Macaca fascicularis: one gene and its partner. The protein of the gene in region 2 purifies or fractionates together with the protein of the main gene of each other region. This does not show direct contact. Links are inferred from orthologs where the notes say so. Each region holds a gene or a part of one and is shown on either strand. Other genes may lie near its edges.

Region 1 (6,559 bases), on a different chromosome or scaffold from region 2:
GCCACTGTCTATTAATTCCTGACTTGAGAAACACAAGTTTAAAAAAAGGAGCCATTAACACCACAGAACCAGGAGACACTCTGAAAATGTACCCACTGTCCCCGAACAAAAGCTACAACCTTGCCCAGAAATGTACACACACTTTGTTCACCTGGGTAGCTCCTTCTTCAGTTCAGTGACTGTTCAGTCAATGACTAAATCTTTCCCAAAAGACTTGTGGGAAGTGGGAGTATAACATGTAGGGTTTTATGGTATCCTTCCTCAAAGAGGGCTGCTGCATTTCCTTATTGTAAGTTCACTGTCTCACACTTTGGTTACCTTCCAATCTGAAATGCTTTAGGATTAGGGAGCAATCTATATGCTTGCTTCTTCTACCCTTTGCCTGCTTCTCAGAAGTAAAATTCATATCAATGAGCAATATTTGCTTCCAGTTAAAGTAAGAGAAGTATACAAGGTATGTTATGCAGTACGGATTGTCCAAGAAAAAATTTTAAAAAGATGTAAGGTCTTTTTAAAATTTGACTTGAAGGGCAATGGGAAAGTTCTCTTCTCCAAATATATTTTTGCAAATCCAGGTCTATGTATGAAATTCCTTATTGATAATTCTACTCCTAAACTCCCTCTTAAGACACAAAAAACTGTTGGAAAAATTAGATAGGATTAAAACACACACACACACACACACACACACACGGCCAGGCGCAGTGGCTCACTCCTGTAATCCCAGCACTTTGGGAGGCTGAGGCGCATGGATCACCTGAGGTCAGGAGTTTGAGTCTAGCCTGGCATGGCAAAATCCCGTCTCTACTAATAATACAAAAATTAGCTGGTCGTGGTGGCGCACACCTGTAATCCCAGCTACTCCAGAGGCCGAGGCAGGAAAATCGCTTGAACCTAGGAAGCAGATGTTGCAGTGAGCCGAGATCATGCCATTGCACTCCAGCCTGGGTGACAAGAGTGAAAATCTAAAAACACACACACACACACCCCTACACACTGTCTCTAGGATAGGTAAGAAAGTTCCTTGGGGGAAACAACTGAGGTTTCCGATGGGCACTATACAAAGGCTGGGTACAACAGAGGGCTTTTAAAGCTAGTAAGGACAAATTCAATTAATAAGGTGGTAGTTGGCCGGGCGTGGTGGCTCACGCCTGTAATCCCAGCACTTTGAGAGCACGAGGCGGACAGATCACGAAGTCAGGAGATCGAGACCATCCTGGCTAACACGGTGAAACCCTTGCCTCTAATAAAAATACAAAAAATCAGCCGGGCGTGGTGGCAGGCGCTTGTAGTCCCAGCTACTTGGGAGGCTGAGGCAGGAGAATGGTGTGAACCTGGGAGGCGGAGCTTGCAGTGAGCCGAGATCGTACCACTGTACTCCAGCCTGGGTGACAGAGCGAGACTCGTCTCAAAAAAAAAAAAAAAAAAAGATGGTAATATGAAATGCCCCAGCTGTACTCTGACTCTTGAGATTTAGAGGAAAACCGATTTCAAATCCAGATAAGCTTGGAGCTTCTTGGATCCCCACAGAAAGACACACACTGTACTCCAGCCTGAGCGACAGAGCAAGACTCTGTCTCTAAAAATAGAAGAAAAGAAAAGAAAGACAAATACAGGGGGCTCTTAGGAGAACCATCATCATCATGGATAAGAAAGAGATAGTCAAGTAATGTGAACATGCAGAGACCATGAACATCCAGAGACCATGAATTTGAGATAAGGCTCTGAAATTCCTTTCTTTAGCAGAGATGACAACAATTGTCCCAAACAAAATGATCCTTTCTCCCCATAAAGTTTTGTTCCATCTCTTTGGGCATTTCCTAGGACACCCAGCACATAACTTGGGGTGTGTGTGTGTGTGTGTGTGTGTGTGTGTGTACTGAAGGTGAATAACACACAGTACAGCCCTCTGCTTGTTGGACTTGGTAGAAGACAAAATGAACTGTGAAAGGAACGCAATAAATAACAGAGTATCATCCCAGAAGGGAAAACTGTAGAAAGAATAAGACTAGAGTTTGGTGAGAACATGAAAACAGAACTGCCTTTTGTGGCACATCCCCCAAAGCAAAGCAAGATAAGTCTGATTTGCTGTCTCTGATCCTTGACCTTCCTAAATGAAATATGAGTAAGGTATGTACGGGAGGATTTATACTTCTTAAACTGCTGAACAGCTTCCATATTTTAAAATATGAACATATTATTTTTGTAATTAAGAAATGTAGTGATGGCCGGGTGCAGTGGCTCATGCCTGTAATCCCAGCACTCTGGGAGACCGAGGCGGGCAGATCATGAGGTCAAGAGATTGAGATCATCCTGGCCAACATGGTAAAACCCCGTCTCTACTAAAAATACAAAAATGAGCTGGGCGTGGTGGTGCGCGCCTGTAGTCCCAGCTACTTGGGAGGCTGAGGCAGGAGAATCTCTTGAACCTGGGAGGTGGAGGTTGCAGTGAGCCGAGATTGCACCACTGCACTCAAGCCTGGCGAGAGAGTAAGACTCCGTCTCAAAAAAAAAGAAATGTAGTGATAAAATATATTGGTAGAGAAGGGGAAAAGGAGGAAGCACAGTAAGGGAAAATCCAATAGGCTCCAATCTATGAGGGACTAAGAAGGCTAGCAGACCATTAAAAGTATGCAGGGAGGAGGGTACTCCACTCTTCTTTTTTTTTTTTGTTTTTGGAGACAGGGTCTCATTCTGTCGCCTAGGCTGGAGTGCAGTGGCAAGATCGTGGCTCACTGTACCCTCGAACTCCTGGGCTCAAGTGATCCTCCTGTCTCAGCCTCCCAAAGTGCTGGGATTACAGACGTGGGCTACTGCACCTCTGTATCTTTTTCTCTACTCACCATCTTCCCCAGATACTTCATAGTTTACCCAACTTTTTAACAGCACAGAAATCTGGGCTTTTGAAGTAGACAAAGAACAAGGGGTGATGCCAAGCTTTTGAAATGGAATTTCTCACTCTTCCCCAAATCTCTTCCTCAGTGATATCACCTCATAGTTTCGGACCTGTTAACTCCATTACCTGCCTGGGAAATACCCAAGTCAAGTCTAAGTCCCACAAAAGTTTCACCAACTATAATCAGAAGATTTCCTGATGGCTGAGGATCTCTAAGCCCTTTTCCCATGTAGATAATGAAATAGATTCTCAGTTCTAGGAGACACGGTATTCACTATAGACCACATTATTAAGTGGGAAAGAAGTGGACAAAACATGCCCCCAATCCAACTCTTGGCTCTTTCATAGGACAGGAAACAGTAAGTTAAGAAACAGACCGCAATATAGACCAGTTATGAAGCCAAGAGAAAGTGTAGGGGCTGAGTTTGGAGCAGCCAACAGTCATGGAAAAAAAAAAAATTACTTTGATCTTCATCCCTACCCTGGGAGTTTTAAAAAGCTTCAAATTACCACATCTAAATACTAAAGGGAACAAAAGAGTGTGTACTCCCAAGACCCAGAGCCTCCAGCCCACCCTTCAGCATTCCCAGAAGCTCCCATAACTGATTCAGGCCCTGCTTCCATTACTTCAACTACCTTAGTCTTCTAGATTAATACAGCCTTCTTCATTTTCCCCAGTTCTCCCTCACTGAACCCAAATCTCTCTCAGCTCAACACCATAGCACCCTCAGTTCTTTTTACAATAGGCACTTTCCCTGAAAAGAACGCTTCTTTCCAACTAAGAACCCTTCTCAGGCCCTTCCAATGAACCTCTCTGGAGAGACCCAGCTCAAGTCACCCCCGGGGCTCGGGCGACAGGTCTGACCCCTCCTCACCTCCCAGCAAATGGGCTTACCTCACCCGCTGCCCTGTCCCTTTCCCCAGCTCCTCCCTCTTCAGCGCTGCTTAATGAGGCCTGCCCCTCCCCTCACTCAAGCACCGAGCCTCCAGCGCCCGGCCCTCGGCCTGGCCGCCGCCACAGCCAGCCGCCTTCCCGACTCACCAACTTCGGGGTCCCAGCCCGCCCAGTCCCCTCCTCAGCGCCCCCATTAGGCCTGCCGGAGCCCGGCCCCCTGCTCCCCTCTCCGGTGGGCCACTCTAACCCCTCGCTTAGGACCACACCCGCCTCCGCTCTCAGGCCAGGTTGCTCTCATCTCCTGGGCGCTTCCGCCCCTGCCCTTTGGGGTCCATCAGCTCGGTACCTGGGGCTCCGTCTCCCCCGTCGGCCCCAAGCCTGTGTCGAACAGACAAACAGCTGCAGCTCAACCAAACCCTCCTGCCCCTCCTTCTCCTCCTCGCCCTGGGGCGGGGGTTCCAGCCAATAGCTCGATTACCCGCCTACCATCGGGGGGTGGGCTATATGTGCACTCATCCACCAATCCTCTGGAGAAAGGCGGGTCTCTTTGGGCGCTGTCACCAACAAGTACGAGCAAGGGACTCGACAGGCGGGGCCACAAACCAATAGCAAGGGAGAAACCTCGAAGATGGACGAGGTAAGGAGCCATTAAAGAGCAAGCTCCTGAAGACAGGGGGCGGTACAGTGCCGACAGGCGTATGTATCCACCAATAAAATCTCGACACCCCATGACCCCGCCTTTTGACTCATAAACATCTAATCAGGTGAGTGAAGGAGGCGGGTCAAAGTGAAACTTTAACCAGTACTACGAAAATACGGGACTTGACTGGCAGGCGAGGGGTTGACAGGAGCCTTAGGAAGGCCTCTATTGACCTTCGCCCCTCCCCCTGGACTTGGCCGGGGCTGGCTCTAGTGCCCCGCCTTCTATGACAAATTCGCGGGCGTAAAGGGAAATACCTCTTCTAGGGATCCGGAGCCTGGGAATTTAAGTAACCCTGACATCAGCGCTTCCTCCCTTTAGTGAGGCTTCAGGGGACAGGAGTATTTGGGGTGGCCGGCGGGCGGTCTGAGATGTTTTTTGTTGGAGTGAGACAATGGCAACTACAAGAAGTGGTAGCTTGGAGACGCTTTTTCAGAATCGTATGTAAATGTAAATAAAATAATCTTTGGAAAACTTTGCTGTTTGTGATATGAAACAGAAAGGAAAAAGGGCGGGCTTACTGGGAAATGCAGTGTCGAGAGGCAAATTCCCCGGGAGCCCTTTTCCTGCCGCTATGTATGTGCATGGGGGTGTGTGTGTGTGCATATATGGTGTGTATGTGGTGTGTTGTGTGTGTGTGGTATGTTGGCTGGGGGAAAGGAAGTTTGCTGGTGTGTGGAGAAAGTAGGAAGTATATAGACTTCAGTTTCCCCAGCCATAAATAGGAACGATAATAACCACTTTGTTCACTGTCAGCACTAGCCAAAATGGGGTGGGGTGGGTGGCCATGCACAGAGAGATTAGGAAAAGGGGTCCGAAATCAATGATCACATATACATATTCATATTCTGTTTCTCACCATTCTTTCAGTAAATAGGAAAGAGATGAACTATAAAACTAGGCACATTTTTTTAATGAACTACAAACTAAATTACAAATAACGTTAATAGCAAGAGCACTCAAGGACAAGGGTGACAGAAACAAATCATAAACAAAAAAAAATGCTTTTTTTTTTTTAAGCACTGTCATTACAAAACCCGAAGGTGCACATGGCAACAAATCCACCCACTCTAACCAAAAAAAAAAAAAAAAAAGCCAACCTTCCTATGGGATATAACCTGAAATATAAATATAATTGTTCATCCTTCTTTTAAAGAAATATTTTTGCCCATGCCCTCACTCAATCACAGCCCTGAAAAAGTGTCAGTACTCTCAAAATGATGCCTAAACCCTAATTTCCAACTCCTATGGGGTAGGAGGTGGACTTCAGAGGAAAACGGGATCAGGGATCCCTGGCAACTGAAGAACTAAGAATACTAAAAGGAAGAGAAAAATTCAAACATCTCTCACCTGCCTCATAAGGCCATGGTGAAGCAATAGATTGGAATGAAGCACAATCCCTGTCCCAGGGCCTCCCAAATTCCTCATGCCTGTAGAAGGGACAAACAAGGGGACTGGGGCCAATCATTTTTCTGCAGCCCCACCCAGGCTGAGTCTTGAGTCTCCCAGCCTATTAGGTGAGGCAGAACACTAACTAGGGTATAAACTGATTGGATCTATTTTTTCAACCGAATTCTTTAAAATAGACTCCTCCCAGTGGTTTTGTTTGACTTGGTTCTCAAAAGTTCCAACTTAGCCCCCTGCTATCATTTGGCCTTTACAAACATTGCGGCAGCAGGAGGCTTGGGATCCTGGTCATCTCAAACACTGGAAATAATAATTACGGGGCATTCAGAGATTGGTACGGCAAATCTAACATGTAGGAAGGCTTTTTTTTTTTTTCTTTTTTTTTTTTTTTAATAGCAACCCTCTTCAGCAGTAACTAAGAGAAGGGGGAAAGGGTGGTGGAGGCTAACTTAAGTGCATCTAATACTGAAACTTCCTTTCATTTTCACTGGTTCCTCCCTTTCACCCCTGTATTCCCAGAGTTGGCTGGCCAAGACTAGAAGGTGAGTGTTTAAGGCAAGATCAGAGGGCCCACCTGAGTCCAAATAGCCCAAGGCCAAGCCAGGTCAAGCCCACACTGGAGCAGAGGGTGAGATTAGGGCTGGAGGCTTCGAGAAGGCTA
Region 2 (6,547 bases):
CTGAAAGAAGGCTGGTTGGGTGTTTCTGCAGGTGGCCCGTGATGTAGCGGTGGTGGCTGAAGGGCTAGGTCGCCAGCTGTTACAAAAACAGCCAATATCACCTGTGATCCATCCTCCTGTGAGTTACAATGACACTGCTCCCCGGATCCTGTTCTGGGCCCAAAACTTCTCTGTGGCGTACAAGGACCAGTGGGAGGACCTGACTCCCCTCACCTTTGGGGTGCAGGAGCTCAACCTGACTGGCTCCTTCTGGAATGACTCCTTTGCCAGGCAAGGGCACTAGGCTGGGGAGGACTGTGCCACCACAGGTGACCTTCCCACCACTGTGAGTTGCAGGTGGGGCAGGGAGCCAGGGTCAGGTCTGTGTGTTGGGGTGGGGATGGCCATGGTCTGGTTGGGGTCTGGGCAGTGTGAGGATGTAGGAGGTGTCATGGCGGGGGGTGCTGTTGGAGGGGAGTTGCTCAGACTTCTGCCTCCCCATGCTTGTGAGTCTTTGGTTGGGACCTTGGTTGTTAACACCTCCCCCTTGAGCAAAACTTCTGGGACTTTGTGTGGGCAAATGCCAGGCCAGCTACCTGAGGCATTTATGGGGCAACCATGCCCTTCTGTTTGCTCTCACCCCCAAAGCCCAGCCCAGGCACCTTAGTGACCCTAAGAGGGAGTAAAAGGAGAGGTAGTGAGCTCAGGGGAACCAGAGGAAGGACCCCCATGCTGGTGGCAAGGGGAACCTGGGTCCTGGCTTCCAGCTCTGTTCTGGGCTTGCAATGCGACTGGATCCTCAGTTTTCCTATCTGTCAAGTGGGGTCACTGCTTCTTCAGGTGGCTGCAAGGACCCAAGGCAGCTTAGGTAAGAGCAGAGCTGAGGAACTTGTTCCTCTAAGATGCCAAAGGCCCTCCCAGAGCCTCATGGTGCACCTCTTTCTCTGCCTCCACAGGCTCTCACTGACCTATGAACGACTCTTTGGTACCACAGTGACATTCAAGTGAGTCCTGGGGTGGTTGAGGTGTGGGGAGGCTGGTGTGGCCCCAGCCTCCCCAGCTCACCTGACATCCCTGCCACCTTCCCCAGGTTCATTCTGGCCAACCGCCTCTACCCAGTGTCCGCCCGGCACTGGTTTACCATGGAGCGCCTCGAAGTCCACAGCAATGGCTCCGTTGCCTACTTCAATGCTTCCCAGGTCACAGGGCCCAGCATCTACTCCTTCCACTGCGAGTATGTCAGCAGCCTGAGCAAGAAGGGCAGTCTCCTCGTGGCCCGCACGCAGCCCTCCCCCTGGCAGATGATGCTTCAGGACTTCCAGGTATGGCGCAGGGGTGGCCCAGCTTCAGGTGGGGGAGCCCAGGCTGGTGTTTGAGAAACGAAGAGAGGCTTGGGCTTGGGAGTCCTGTCCCTGCGCTGCCCTTGTCCCAGTCCTTGCTGGGCCTCCCAACGGTCCTTTCTGACCCGTGTCTGTGTGTCTGCCAGATCCAGGCTTTCAACGTGATGGGGGAGCAGTTCTCCTATGCCAGTGACTGTGCCAGCTTCTTCTCCCCCGGCATCTGGATGGGGCTGCTGACCTCCCTGTTCATGCTCTTCATCTTCACCTACGGCCTGCACATGATCCTCAGTCTCAAGACCATGGATCGCTTTGATGATCACAAGGGCCCCACCATTTCTTTGACCCAGATCGTCTGACCCTGTGCCAGTGGGGGATTGAGGGTGGGACAGTGTCCGTGTTGTTGCTTTCCCACCCTGCAGCACACTGGACTGGAGCTTCCCTCTTCCTACCGCAGCATGAACCCCAAGCTCCCCTCAGCCCATCTTGCTCCCTCTTCAGCCTGCTGAGGAGCTTTCCTGGGCTGCCCCCATCTCTCCCAACAAGGTGTACATATTCTGCGTAGATGCTAGACCAACCAGCTTTCCAGGCTTAGTCGCTGTGAGGCGTAAGGGACATGAATTCTAGGGTCCCCTTTCTCCTTATTTATTCTTGTGTCTACATCATCCCTGGCTGTGGATAGTGTTTTTGTGTAGCAAATGCTCCCTCCTTAAGGTTATAGGGCTCCCTGAGTTTGGGGTGTGGAAGTTCTACTTAACTGTCCTGCTTGGCTGTCGTTATCGTTTTCTGGTGATGTTGTGCTAACAATAAGCAGTACACTGGGGTTTATTTCTGTGGCCTGAGAAGGAAGGCACCTCCACAGGTGGGCTGGGTGCGATCGTCGGCTGTCTGGCATGTTCCCACCGGAAGTGCCTGGCAGGAGCAGGGGGTGCTCGGTTGTTTCCTTCCTAATAAAGTAAACGAGGATCGCCATGCGTTGGGCCTCTTGTCGCTCATTTCTGCGCTGAGCTTTTGGCGCGTGCTCGCCAGAGGTATGCGGGAGGATGGAGCCTGGAGAGGGGGAGGCTAGGAGGCATCCCCGGAGACCGGGAGGGGCTTTAGTAAGCTGGGCCCTAACCGCTTAGGTCAGGGAGGGGTGGTCGGGCCGAGTCCCGGTGCGCTTCGGCGTCTCAGGAGGCCGTAGTGACAATGGCAGCCTTCGCGTCGTGAGGGAGCCGCCCCCGGCTGCCGCAGCGGCGCGCGTCCGGTCGCGGGGCCGCGCCGAGACTCCCGGGGGGCGGGGCGGGCGCGCGCGGGGCGGGGCGGGGCGGGGCGCGCCCGGCTCCCGCGCATGGATCCTTCCCGGGCCGCAGCACCGGCCGCCGGCCCGCCCCGCCCGCCCCGCCCGCCCCGCCCCGAGCCTCTCTGGACTCTCGGCGAGCAACGTCGCCCGCGGAGCCGCGCTGGTGCTGTGGCCCGGGCCCTGGCAGCCCTCCCGGGAGGCGAGCCGGGAAGGCGGTGTCCCCTGCCGGGTGCGGCGGGGCGCGGGAAGAGGCGGGACTCTTTGACGCGGCGGAGGGGTCGGGCGGCGGCCGACGCTCCGCCATCTTTGGTCCAGTGCGGTGGCGGCGGCGGCGGTGGCTACTGCTGTGGTGAAGGAGGAGGAGGAGCCGAGCGGGCGCTGCCACTGAGGCCTGACCATGGACGAGGAATACGATGTAATCGTGCTGGGGACCGGCCTCACCGTAAGTGCGGCCCCGGGCGCCCTTGGCCCTGCGTCGTGCCCTCGCCATTCCCCGCGATGATGCGGCCGCCGGCCCATCCTCCGGTCACTGCCATCTTCTGCGCTCGGCTCCCCGAAAAGCCGGCGCCGTGCCCACCCCGCTGCTCCCCCCGCGATGTCGCCTCTGTTCGTTGCCATGACCCCATCTCCCCGAAGGGGCCCCCTTCCTGGCCGCCCCCTGGCCTACCCGGGTCCGACCCCCGGCGCTCTCCCATCTTCCCTACCCCTGCCCTCTGGACCGGAAAACGCACCCCCACTCGGCCCGTTGCCCCCGACCCCGCCCACCCATCGCCCCCACCCCGCCCACCCATCGCCCCCACCCCGCCCACCCATCGCCCCCACCCATCACGGCATCCACCCGTCGCCCGCACCCATCGCCCGCCTAGCGTTGCCTCCCAGCGTCCCTTCCCATCTTGCGCTAATCCCTGTGAGGATGAAGTACAAGGACCTGGGGTCAGGGGGCCTCGCCAGGGTGGGCTCTCAGCCCACCCCCTCGTCGTCTTCTGGGGCCAGGGGATCCAGGGAATGTTCCAGAAGGAGCAGCAGTGGGGGCAGTAAGCACATTCCCGCAACCCCACCTCGGTTGCCCATGGAGACCTCAGGCTGAGTAGCATCTGCAGCCTTTGTCCTTGGGCTAGTGACAGTGACTGGTGAGGGTGTTTATCTTCCCCCTTTCCCCGAAAATCCCGTTGGCCCACTCCCCTCAGAGACTCTTCTCCCTCGGTCCAGACCCAGATGCCCCTCCTCAGCGGCAGGGGCTCCTGCTCTTTGAAGAAAGAGCAGTCCAGGGTGGGGCCTACAATTTCAAGGACTGTGCTAAGCCTTTCTTTGCTTCCCTTTGGAGTGTCTTTCGCAGTCCAGCTGGGTCCCCTCTGTGCCACATTGTGTTTTATCCGCCTTTTTGTGCGGCTCTGCGTAGGTAGATGCCTCTCGGCGTGTTGGTACTGGAAGGCCATCCTGTGTCTGCTGGATGCCCTGCCTACCTCAAAGCCTCCGTTATTTCACTGTCTGCCTTGTGAGGGGGACGGTCTCCTTTACCCCGCAAGGTTGCAATGGAGAGTGTGGTCGGATGAAACCATCACCCCAATTTTAGGCGAGGCAACTAGCCGGTGGGGGTGGTGGATGGAAGGAGCTGTCCACTGAGGCAGGTTTGGGTGGGGAACAAATCAGGGCTGCTGGTAGGAGCAGAGGAAGGTGGGAGTGCAGCGGATTGTGTGGCCCTCCCCCAGGAATGCATCTTGTCGGGCATCATGTCTGTGAACGGGAAGAAGGTGCTGCACATGGACCGGAACCCCTACTACGGGGGCGAGAGCTCCTCCATCACACCCCTGGAGGAGGTGAGGCTGCCTGGGCCCAGGCCCATCCCTGTTAACCTCCCACACAGCGGCACAGGGTGGAAGTAGCTCTCCAGGTGCCTGGAGCAGGAGGAGGTGGTCCCTGAGGTGTCTCTCTCTCCCTTCTGCTTACAGCTGTATAAGCGTTTTCAGTTGCTGGAGGGGCCCCCTGAGTCCATGGGCCGAGGCCGAGACTGGAACGTTGACCTGATTCCCAAATTCCTCATGGCTAACGGTGAGGGACAGGAAGGAGGTATTGCAGGTCGGGGGTGATAGGGAAGACCTAAGGACAGTCAGGCTCCAAAGGAGGCACAGCCAGACCAGCTAGAACCTCTGGAGAGAGCCGTGCTGATGTTGCCCTTGTGCACCCCCACAGGGCAGCTGGTAAAGATGCTACTGTATACAGAAGTGACTCGCTACCTGGACTTCAAGGTGGTGGAGGGCAGCTTTGTCTACAAGGGGGGCAAGATCTACAAAGTGCCGTCCACTGAGACTGAGGCCTTGGCTTCCAGTGAGTGTGGGCCCCCTGAGCCAGAGAAATCATGGGGTGGCAGGGAAGCCAACTGTCTTTGGGATGGGTGGCTGTCCAGAGTAAGGCACCCCTTTGTCCAAAGTCACATTCCCCCATGAAGGACCAGAGGCCCTTCACTCTGTATTCCCTCTGCCCCATGTCATGCCGCATGGCTGGCTGCCAAGAGGGAGGTCCCCACGCAGCAGGGATGTGACGTGGAGGGGAACGGGACTCCTTTTGAAAGACTTGAGCGTGGCCAGGCACGGTGGCTCATGCCTGTAATCCCAGCACTTTGAGAGGCCTAGGCGGGTGGATCACGAGGTTAGGAGTTCAAGACCAGCCTGGCCAACATGGTGAAACCCCGTCTTGTCTCAAAATACAAAAAATTAGCTGAGTGTGGTGGCACACACCTGTAATCCCAGCTACTCGGGAGGCTGAGGCAAGAGAATGGTTTGAACCCGGGAGGTGGAGGTTGTGGTGAGCCGAGATCATACCACTGCACTCCAGCCTGGGCGATAGAGCAAGACTCCATCTCAAAAAACAACAACAACAAAGAAAACTTGAGCCTTTGGCAGGGGCTCCACTGGATCCTCAAGACATCCCCAAGTGTCCAAGCCAGGAAAGCCCTTAGAGTCCATCCAGGCCAATCCCCTCTTCATCCTGGTGGGGAAACTGAGGCTAAAAAGGGTGGAGAGGTTAACCTAAGGTCACAGGACAGCTGGGCTGGGAGTGGGGGTGCCTGCCCTGCTGAGATGGAGAGTTTTGTGCTGCGTTGGTGCAGAACCTCCTCCCGCCACCTTCCTTAGATCTGATGGGTATGTTTGAGAAACGGCGCTTCCGCAAGTTCCTGGTGTTTGTGGCAAACTTCGATGAGAATGACCCCAAGACCTTTGAGGGTGTTGACCCCCAGACTACCAGCATGCGTGATGTCTACCGGAAGTTTGATCTGGGCCAGGATGTCATCGATTTCACTGGCCACGCCCTGGCACTCTACCGCACTGATGAGTGAGGGGAAGCTGGTGTGGCGGCAGCCCCCTCGCCCGGCCCACCTCCTGCCCTCCCCACACCTGCCTGTTGTCCCCCTGCCCTGCATGTTCCTTGTACTCAGCCATAGGCTCACCTGTCACCCTTTCCATTTCCCCCTTGCATTTGATCCTCATCTTCCCCAGGCCATTCAGGGTGGTGGGAAGACTGGCCTGGTACCTGGTACCTGGGTGGGGGTAAGTCAGGGGTGCTGCTACTGGAGCATCTTCCCTAACCCCTGTCCCCCAGCTACCTGGACCAGCCCTGTCTTGAGACCATCAACCGCATCAAGTTGTACAGTGAGTCCCTGGCCCGGTATGGCAAGAGCCCATATTTATACCCGCTCTACGGCCTGGGCGAGCTGCCCCAGGGTTTTGCAAGGTGAGGACGTGGGTTTTTTCAGTTGGCATGGCTGAGTAGGACTAGGGCCAGGAGTGGAGATGGCCCCCTTGAGCATTTCCCTGGTAGCATTTCCTCCTTTCCAATTCGTGATTTTCATTTACTTCACTCCATCCTTGGGTGATGAGGGCACAACCCCAGTGCACTGAAGTACAGAAGTCTCCACACTTGCCGGGCGCGGTGGCTCACGCCTGTAATCCCA

What was found.
Region 1: the proteins of GDI1 (region 2) and RAB5B purify together in Homo sapiens (affinity purification with mass spectrometry; 3 studies listed by BioGRID and IntAct, counting the BioPlex papers as one, with this or other methods). This does not show direct contact. The link is inferred for Macaca fascicularis from reciprocal best matches to the Homo sapiens genes GDI1 and RAB5B.

What each region holds. Positions count from the first base shown.
Region 1 is NC_088385.1:62,752,672-62,759,230, reverse strand, and holds the start of RAB5B (ras-related protein Rab-5B), read right to left. Parts: upstream 4,204-6,559; 5' UTR 4,138-4,203; exon of another isoform or gene 4,058-4,137; intron 1-4,057. UniProt on the Homo sapiens protein: The small GTPases Rab are key regulators of intracellular membrane trafficking, from the formation of transport vesicles to their fusion with membranes.
Region 2 is NC_088395.1:160,435,200-160,441,746, forward strand, and holds the start of GDI1 (rab GDP dissociation inhibitor alpha), read left to right. Parts: upstream 1-2,900; 5' UTR 2,901-2,995; coding exon 2,996-3,040; intron 3,041-4,307; coding exon 4,308-4,415; intron 4,416-4,547; coding exon 4,548-4,647; intron 4,648-4,788; coding exon 4,789-4,923; intron 4,924-5,729; coding exon 5,730-5,928; intron 5,929-6,195; coding exon 6,196-6,327; intron 6,328-6,547. Other genes in the region: ATP6AP1 (V-type proton ATPase subunit S1), read left to right, coding at 32-270, 936-983, 1,070-1,301, 1,466-1,675. UniProt on the Homo sapiens protein: Regulates the GDP/GTP exchange reaction of most Rab proteins by inhibiting the dissociation of GDP from them, and the subsequent binding of GTP to them. Promotes the dissociation of GDP-bound Rab proteins from the membrane and inhibits their activation.